2 linked regions of the Schizosaccharomyces pombe genome follow. Each later gene encodes a partner of the first gene's protein in a complex. Each region holds a gene or a part of one and is shown on either strand. Other genes may lie near its edges.

What was found. The genes of interacting proteins can lie anywhere in the genome.
Region 2: moe1 (region 1) and tif303 share a complex: the UniProt entries of both Schizosaccharomyces pombe proteins name them as parts of the eukaryotic translation initiation factor 3 (eIF-3) complex.

What each region holds. Positions count from the first base shown.
Region 1 is NC_003424.3:4,549,824-4,554,289, forward strand, and holds moe1 (translation initiation factor eIF3d), read left to right. Parts: upstream 1-2,016; 5' UTR 2,017-2,027; coding exon 2,028-3,731; 3' UTR 3,732-3,918; downstream 3,919-4,466. Other genes in the region: gmh5 (alpha-1,2-galactosyltransferase), read left to right, coding at 103-1,146; Fe-sulfur cluster assembly ATPase Nbp35, read left to right, coding at 4,292-4,466. UniProt on the Schizosaccharomyces pombe protein: mRNA cap-binding component of the eukaryotic translation initiation factor 3 (eIF-3) complex, which is involved in protein synthesis of a specialized repertoire of mRNAs and, together with other initiation factors, stimulates binding of mRNA and methionyl-tRNAi to the 40S ribosome.
Region 2 is NC_003424.3:2,579,600-2,584,570, reverse strand, and holds tif303 (translation initiation factor eIF3c), read left to right. Parts: upstream 1-1,581; 5' UTR 1,582-1,594; coding exon 1,595-4,351; 3' UTR 4,352-4,471; downstream 4,472-4,971. Other genes in the region: tom6 (uncharacterized protein), read right to left, coding at 524-630, 669-708. UniProt on the Schizosaccharomyces pombe protein: Component of the eukaryotic translation initiation factor 3 (eIF-3) complex, which is involved in protein synthesis of a specialized repertoire of mRNAs and, together with other initiation factors, stimulates binding of mRNA and methionyl-tRNAi to the 40S ribosome.

The sequences.
Region 1 (4,466 bases):
TCAAACGGCATTGCCGTAGTCATATTATCATTCGAAAATATATAATTTAAAGGTTAATAAGAAGAATTAACGTAAACGTCGAGTCTTATATTATATTAAAAAATGTGGAACCCCAAAAAGAAGTCAGAAGCATTAGCTAAGTTTAAATCCTTTCCTTACCCTAAGCCAGGCACTTCCAATGTACTTGATTCCAAAGAAGGTGATACTAGAAGGAAGTATTTTACCAAGACGCATCTACATAGGTTATTCGTCTTTGTGGTACTGTTGCTCTGCTCAGGCTACTTTTTAAAGCATACACTCTTGACGCGTCCCAAAGAGAGTAATGTTGTTATGATATTTGTCAATAACATCGGAGGTGGCGTTTTAGATGTAAAAAGTCCCAGACAATGGGAGCTGGAGAAGATTTCAACGGAGAACAAGAAGAAATACGCTGAAAGGCACGGATATCATTTCTTTGTGAAGAGCACAGGCTTAAAGAGACGATATGCTCATGAATGGCGTGAATCTTGGGAAAAAGCAGATTATATCATGGAAGCCATGAAGAAATACCCTCATGCTGAATGGTTTTGGTGGGTCGATTTAACAACATTCATCATGGAACCTCAATATTCTCTTGAAAAGCTTATTATTAACAGACTTGACCATATTGCGACCAGGAATATTACTGATAGCATGGAGTTCAATCCAAAAAATTTCCACGAAATTCCATTTGTTGACTATAGTGAAGATATCAACTTTATTTTAGGGCAAGATTGCAACGGTTTCAGTTTGGGTTCTTTTCTGGTTCGTCGAAGTGATTGGACTAGCAGATTGATGGACTTCCTTTGGGATCCAGTAGTCTATGGGCAAAAGCACATGGATTGGCCTCACGATGAGCAAAATGCAATTGAGTACTTCTACGAGAATAATGCTTGGCTTCGAAGCGGCATGGGATTCGTTCCTCTTCGCCTTTTCAATTCATATCCTCCAGGTGCTTGTGCTGGTGAAGGTGAAAATCCTCGTTTCTTTTATAACCAAAAAGAAGGAGACTTCTTGGTAAACTTGGCAGGCTGTAATTATGGAAGGGACTGCCTAGATGAAATAAATCATTATAAGGGATTAGCGCAAAGAAAACGGGGTTGGAGGAAGTTAGTTCCGTTTCTTTAATAGAGACCTCACATATTTCCATCATTATTATTAATATTTTAAATTCATACTTTATCATTCTTTTTCCTTGCGTGTGCTAGGCTGTCAATGCGATCCTTTATCATGTGATGCACTAAACTCTCTCCTTTGCTACTTAGCAGCTTTTGCGGTCATTTAACACTGCTTAATATTTGGTGCTTTCCGTTTTTATACATTAATTTCTTCGCAAACAATTGTTTTAATAGGATTAGATGTGTATATTTTTTATGCGACATGTGATGACAGAAAAGAGAGAATGTCTGAGAACCTTGGCGTTCATTTTTTTCTTTCTTCAAAAGACAGCGTTGACGAAATTAAAATTTTCTAAAACATGCTTTTGTCAGAAACATTTAAGCCTTGAGACAATGACTATAAAGGCAAAGTCTGATGTCGTAATCAGTTTTAAATTATAGCATAACATATCTTTTATTTCAATATCAATTTCTCCCATTTTTTAATTTAATAACATTTAGTGCTGATATAACCTGCTAGTATGATAAAGTAATTCTACCTACTATAGTTTTATAATGTAGTGAGTGGTTGAGATTTCCACATATCGTCTTCTGAATAGGCATGTGGGTTCACAAATAAAGAAGTAGTTTGATAAATACAGTAACATATACTAATTGTTAATAGATGTAGTTTTTCTACAAATATAGCACCTTGATTGCAAAAGGAAATGTATAACATTTAACTTTTTCACGAACCAAAAAGTATATATATTACATTTAAGTACTTTTGTATTACAAATAAAGCTTTAGAACTTCAAATATTACCATTGTTGGCTTTGGTGTTTTAGCGTCTCCCAGTTCGTTTGCACACTATACTGGCGTCCACTTCGAAGAAAACTTCACCACTCCCAAATGGCAACTGGATTTAAATTGCCTGAGTTAGCACCCGTAAAATCAGCATGGGGACCTCCTGAAACGGAACAGATAGGAGGTGATATTCCTTATGCTCCTTTTAGTAAAGGTGACCGTCTTGGAAAAATTGCAGATTGGTCTGTTGATCAACCTAAAGATGGACGTGAACAACGTGGACGTCAAGGAGCATTTGCTGGTCGTTTCCGTGACCAATATCAAACTTATGGTTATGGCGCGTCGTCCATTTTTGGTTATCAGCATTCGGAGGACGAATCCAGTTTCTCGGTGATCGATCGTGGTTCTGTCAATCGTACACGCACTTCCGCTCGCAACGGCGGCACTTTATTGAAGGTTCGCGGTAGAGGACAAAACGTTCAACGAGGTGGTCGTGGCGGTCGCTACGGTTCTTCTGGTGGAAGAGGTGCAGGTGATACAGTGGTTTCTAGATCCTCAGGCGCTGGAGGAGCAAGAGGTCGTCGGTTTGGTTGGAAGGATTATGATAAACATCAACGTCTTCGCAACGCCAGTGTTACTGTTGGTGACGACTGGCAGCTTCTTGACGAGGTTGAGTTCAGCCATTTATCTAAGCTCAATTTAGCTGCTGCTGCTCCTGTTACTGTGGATTCATATGGTTATATTTATCCTTATGACAAATCTTTTGACAAGATTCATGTTAAATCAGAAAAACCATTACAAGCCTTGGACCGTGTTCATTACAACCCTACCACTACTGAAGACCCCGTTATCCAAAAACTCGCTCTTAATAGTGATGCTAACATTTTCATTACGGATTCCATTTTGTCTTTATTGATGTGTTCAACTCGCTCAGTGTATCCCTGGGATATTGTAATTACTCACCAAAGTGGAAAGCTATTCTTTGACAAACGTGAAGGCGGACCTTTTGATTATCTCACTGTCAATGAAAACGCATACGATTCTCCCATGGACGCTGACAACCGCGAAGGTGTTAATTCTCCTGGAGCCCTTTCTGTCGAAGCTACGTACATTAACCAAAACTTCTGCGTCCAAGCTTTACGTGAAACCGAAGAAGAGAAATATAAATTACCTCATCCCAATCCCTTCTATAATTCTAAGGAAGAAAGTGAGCCATTGGCTGCTCACGGTTATATCTATCGGGATGTTGATCTTTCTCTCGAGACAGACGAAAAGCCTGTTAAGCTAATGGTTCGTACCGAAGTTGACGGTTATGTTAAAAATCCTGCGAACGATGTTCAATACATTTCTATCAAGGCTCTTAATGAGTACGATCCCAAATTTACAAATGTTACTGGTTCTGTGGATTGGCGTTCCAAGCTCGAAAGTCAAAGAGGTGCTGTGTTTGCCACTGAAATGAAGAACAATAGTTGCAAGCTTGCCCGTTGGACTGTCGAAGCTTTATTGGCTGGTGTTGATAGCATGAAGGTTGGTTTTGTCAGTCGTTCAAATGCCCGTGACGCTCAGCACCACGGCATTTTGGGTGTTGTAGCTTATAAGCCTGCTGATTTGGCTTCCCAAATGAACTTAAGTTTGTCTAATGGTTGGGGTATTGTTCGTACTATTGCAGATGTCTGTTTGAAAATGCCTGATGGAAAATATGTCCTTGTAAAGGATCCCAACAGACCTATTTTACGCTTGTACTCTGTTCCACCCAACACTTTTGAAGAAGCTGCTGGACCCTCCCTTGAAGCTTCTTCTACTGCTTAAAAAGGACGGATGTAGAAAGTTCATTAAAAAGGTTACATGTATAATACTCAATTACATGTGCAAATCTAAGATCTTTAAATCGGTTTTATATTTTCGGTTTCTTTATTTTTTAATCTTATGAACTGTTTCTCGGTAAATTAGAAGCTAAGTGTAAAGTAATGTATTTGTTGGAATAGTAAAAATGAAGCGAAGGAAAATTAAGTGCCGTTTAATTCATTTGGAAATATCTGATTTTCGATGCTTCCAACGTGATTTTTTTCATGAACATTGCTTTTAACACACTTTAGGGTATTACGGTAAAAAAATTAGAACTCGATTAGTAGAAAACCGATATAGCTCATTGCCACTAGCCAAGAGATCGTAAAACGGTTTCAAGCTTAGTCAGAATATTGTGGTAAAACAAGAGGTAAAGCTTTTAGCAAAAATTCGTTTGAAGAGAATTTACACCGGATTACACTTATAATTTACCATACGTGGTTTACAAAAATAGCTACTAAAAGTTCACTAAGCACGTGAAATAAAGACTTTTACTAAGCATTTGCTTTAATATTGGCTTTTCTATGCAAATCCAAGAAACTGTTCCTTTAGATGCACCAGAGCATTGCCCCGGACCGTCATCTGAAAATGCAGGAACTGCATCAGCATGTGAAGGATGCCCTAATCAACAAATTTGCGCTTCAGCACCTCGTGGAGAAGATCCAGATTTACCATTGGTTGTAGAACGCTTGAAAGAAA
Region 2 (4,971 bases), 2.0 Mb from region 1:
CACAACCATGTAACCGGTTGGATATTAAAAGGAGGAAAAACGTTTCTTGTTTGGCATCTATCTGTAAATGAAGGAGTCGTTGTTAAAACATTCTCCACGCCGACTACATTCGTACATAAAAATTTTCGCATAAACGACAAACGAAATGGTTCCTAGTCCAATGTTCACACAAAAATCTGTAGTGAATGGACGAATATTGGTTATTGACTTCAAACATCTAAGGAAACATAAATAGACGCAAGATATCAGAATCGAACTAGCTTATATGTAAAAATGTTCCTACCAACTAATGCTCCTACGTACTTCGCATGACACTAGATAACATAAATATTTCAAATTTTAGATCGCTAACAAAAATTACAAAGCACAATGATATTCATGAAAGATATATGTTGTTTAGCTTTGAACCTTTATTGAAACTGGGAGTTCATTTTATTTATGAAACAACCATACAACGTTATGAAGTAATATTTTTCTGAATCCAAAGCTGAAGACGTTTAGTCCGTGAAATTCAAACATCCATTTACAATTGTGGTACCAAAAAGTTTCCCAGTCTGGATTTCAAGATGGCTACAGAAACTGCAAATACGCCAAGACTCACGAAAATGGAAGAGTTTTCCTTATTGACGACTAAAAGATGTTAAATTAATAGTTTTACAGGGACATACCCTTTTTGAAAATATCTTTTTGAGCAGAAATGCGATCCATTTTTGACTAAGTGGTTGAAGGAACGTGGCTAAATACCGACTTGTAACGTAATTTAACATGACTGTGATCGCTGCCATAAACAGTGATCAGGTAAAATGTATGGCTTCAATAACCCTAATTGATAACCCTAAGAGCTAGCTGTATGGATTTTGTTTTGCAGTAGAGGAAACATTCTATACTGCAATAGTTTTTTAAGACAAAACGCTTTATATTTAGTTTACTTGGTCTTACGAAATAATCAAGAGTAGCGCTGCGGAAACAAATTTTTTCCTTTAAAATTTTCCATAATCATTATCTTTTTTAGTATTTTTTCATTTTTTTTTCGGGGGAGGGGTTAGAATAATTTAATTCATTTTCTTAACAAATGTACATCTCAAGAGCATCAATATTTAGACAATTAAAACTTTCAATAAATAAACGATTATTTTTTTCGGATTATTAATTGCTAAGCAGATAATTGCTTGCGACAAGGAAGCAAAGTGAGTATACACTTGGTTAGATGGAAAATATAATCACTTCCTCATAATTAAATTGTTCAGCGTATTTCATTCATCAAAAGTAATTCTATAAACAACCTGACGCTGATTATGTACAGTTTTTGTCCCGCAACTGCGTTAATGATTTCTGAGTGTATTTGTGATACGAAATTGCTTATAAAGAATCATGACATTCTATCAAGTCAAAATCGATAAACCCCATGCTTCTTAGTTTTCTAAACTTTCATTGCCGACAGTTTTGGATAAATTTATTAAATAACAAATTACGTTAATCCACTTTAACGGACACAAAATATTATTAACGATAACATACCTCTTTCAAAAAGGTGGAAGGGGGTCCTCACCCTTCCTTTGACTGCTGCACGAAAAAAAACTTGCCAACCACCAACATGTCGAGATTCTTCAAGGGAGGCTCTAGCGACAGCGATGCAGAATCCGTTGACTCCTCTGAAGAAAACCGTTTAACCTCTTCAAGGTTGAAGAAACAAGATGACTCTTCATCTGAAGAAGAATCAAGTGAAGAGGAAAGCGCATCCAGTTCGGAGTCCGAATCATCTGAAGAAGAGTCTGAAAGCGAAGAGTCAGAAGTAGAGGTTCCCAAGAAAAAGGCCGTGGCTGCTTCCGAAGACTCTGAATCTGACTCTGAAAGCTCAGAAGAGGAAGAAGAGACTGAATCCGAAGAGGATAGCGAAGTTTCTGATGAATCTGAGTCCGAGTCTGAGTCCGAGTCTGAGTCTGAGGAGGAATCTGAATCTGAAGAGGAATCTGATGAATCTGAACGTTCTGGCCCTTCTAGTTTCTTAAAGAAACCCGAAAAAGAAGAGGCCAAACCCGCTGGTCTTAAGTTTCTCCGTGGTGAAAGCAGCGAGGAAAGTAGTGATGAGGAAGAGGGTCGTCGTGTTGTTAAAAGTGCTAAAGATAAACGCTATGAAGAGTTTATTAGCTGCATGGAAACTATTAAAAACGCTATGAGTTCAAACAACTGGATTGTTGTTTCTAATGAATTTGATCATTTGAACAAAGTATCTCAAAAATGCAAAGAGGCCGGCAGAAATCCTCCTCCGTACATCGAATTCTTGTCTGCTCTTGATCAAAAACTCGAGTCCGCTGATAAGGCCTTTATCAAAAGTTTGGATGCTGCTAACGGCCGTGCGTTCAACGCTTTAAAACAGCGTGTTCGTAAAAACAACCGTCAGTTTCAAAGTGATATTGATAGATACCGTAAGGATCCTGAAGGTTTCATGAAGCCAGCAGAATTAAACGAAATTCCCAAGCCTGCCGGTAAGGCTGGGCAAGATGAAGTTATTGTTGATGGTGTAGCTACTCGTGGTATAGTTGCACCTACTGAGGGCTTAGGAAAACCAGAAGAAATTACACCTGCAGATATTTTCAAGTATCTCAGAGCTATTTTCGAAGCTCGCGGTAAGAAAAGCACTGACCGTTCTGAACAAATTCGTTTACTAGAAAAACTCTCGACTATAGCCGTAACTGATTATCAACGTCTTCGCGTTAAAGTTGCCCTATTGGCGGTTAGATTCGATATAAACACTGGCTCTGGACAATACATGCCTATTGATCAATGGAATGCCGCTCTTACTGAGTTACACAGTATTCTTGACATCTTTGATGCAAACCCCAAAATTGTTATTGTTGAACAGGTAGAAGATGAAAATGAAGAAGAGGAGGAAGCGATAGCTGCGGCGGAAAATAATAATGGAGTCATACAAGTTCAAGGTAGTGTAGTCTCTTTCTTAGAACGATTGGATGATGAATTTACTCGTTCTCTTCAAATGATTGATCCTCATACTCCTGAATATATTGACCGTCTGAAGGATGAAACGTCACTTTATACCCTTCTTGTCAGAAGCCAAGGTTACCTTGAGCGAATTGGGGTGGTTGAAAATACTGCTCGATTGATCATGCGCCGTCTTGATCGCGTCTATTACAAGCCTGAACAAGTAATTCGCGCTAATGAGGAGGTTGCTTGGCGTTCTTTCCCTCCTACTTTTGATCTTACAATTACTCCTCGTGCCACGACTACGACTCCTGATATTTTAATCCATTCCCTATGTGTCTATCTTTATAATAATGGTGTCAGTTTACTTCGTACCCGTGCTATGCTGTGTCATATTTATCATGAAGCATTGCAAAATCGTTTTTACAAGGCTCGTGATATGTTACTTATGTCGCATTTACAAGATAGCGTGCATGCTGCCGACATTGCTACTCAAATTTTACACAATCGCACTATGGTTCAAATTGGTTTGTGTGCTTTCCGCAACGGTATGGTTCAAGAAACACAGTATGCTCTTCAAGACATCTCTACTACTGGTCGTGTAAAGGAACTCCTTGGACAAGGCATACAAGCACCAAAGTTTGGACAATTTACACCTGATCAGGATCGTTTGGATAAGCAGTTGGTTTTACCTTTCCATATGCACATAAATCTAGAACTGCTTGAATGTGTTTACTTGACTTGTTCTATGTTGATGGAGATTCCCGCAATGGCAGCTGCTAGCTCTACTGCTTCAGATTCTAGAAAGCGTGTAATCAGCCGACCCTTCCGTCGTATGCTTGAATACATTGATCGTCAGCTTTTCGTTGGTCCTCCTGAAAATACCCGCGAGTATATAATGCAAGCTTCGAAAGCATTGGCAGATGGTGAATGGCGTCGTTGTGAAGAATTTATTCATGCTATTAAGATTTGGAGCTTAATGCCTGATGCTGACAAAATTAAGCAAATGCTTAGTGAGAAGATTCGGGAAGAGGGACTACGTACATACTTATTAGCATATGCTGCTTTTTACGATTCTGTTTCTCTTGAATTTTTGGCTACGACATTTGATCTTCCTGTTCAGCGTGTTACTGTTATTGTTTCTCGGTTATTATCTAAACGTGAGATCCATGCTGCTCTTGATCAAGTTCACGGTGCCATCATTTTTGAACGTGTTGAGATTAACAAGCTGGAAAGCTTGACTGTTTCTCTTAGCGAGAAAACTGCACAATTGAATGAGGCAAATGAAAAGCTATATGAGCAGAAGACCCAACACACTAATCCTCAGGAGAACAGACGTCGTGATAAGGGTGGCTCGGTTAAAAGACGCAATGAACGCACCGAAAATCGGAATCGTTCAGACATGAATTAAAGTTGTTGTGCATCGGTGAAAAATAGGGCGATCTAATTTCAATAAAATGAATGACTATTTGTCTTTGAAGAAAGTATTTAACTATCAGGTGGTTTCCATAGATCAATAGACATCTGAGTTACTTCATAGTGGTTTTGTTACAAACGTTAATCGGAAATAATGTAGTTTACCGTTTGGTAATTATCTTCAATTGTAAAGATACTTTGCTTCGAAAGTCTGAATCTGTTGACCATTATACACGTTTACAGTAAGCTATTTCTGCAAGCTTTGTTCTTCAGTTTCATATGGTCGCCTTTTTTCCATCGACTGAAAACAGACATGATGTGTGTAATCGAATTTTTGGTCGCTAGTACGAGCTCAATCTATCGGTGTATGGTTTGAAGTTGTTTTCTTTAAAAAATCTATTACTGAACGAAGTATCTCTAATTGTGTTGTTGAACCTCTAAACAAGAGTTCTGAAATTCTATTGAATACTTCTGAAGTCGTATTAAGCATAACAATCCTTACACAATACATTCACACGATCTTGAATGGTAAACCTCTAACGAAGTCAACTGCGATAAGTTTCATATTATTTCTAAAAATGAGGGAAACTTTATAAGAATTTTTTTATCAATGTT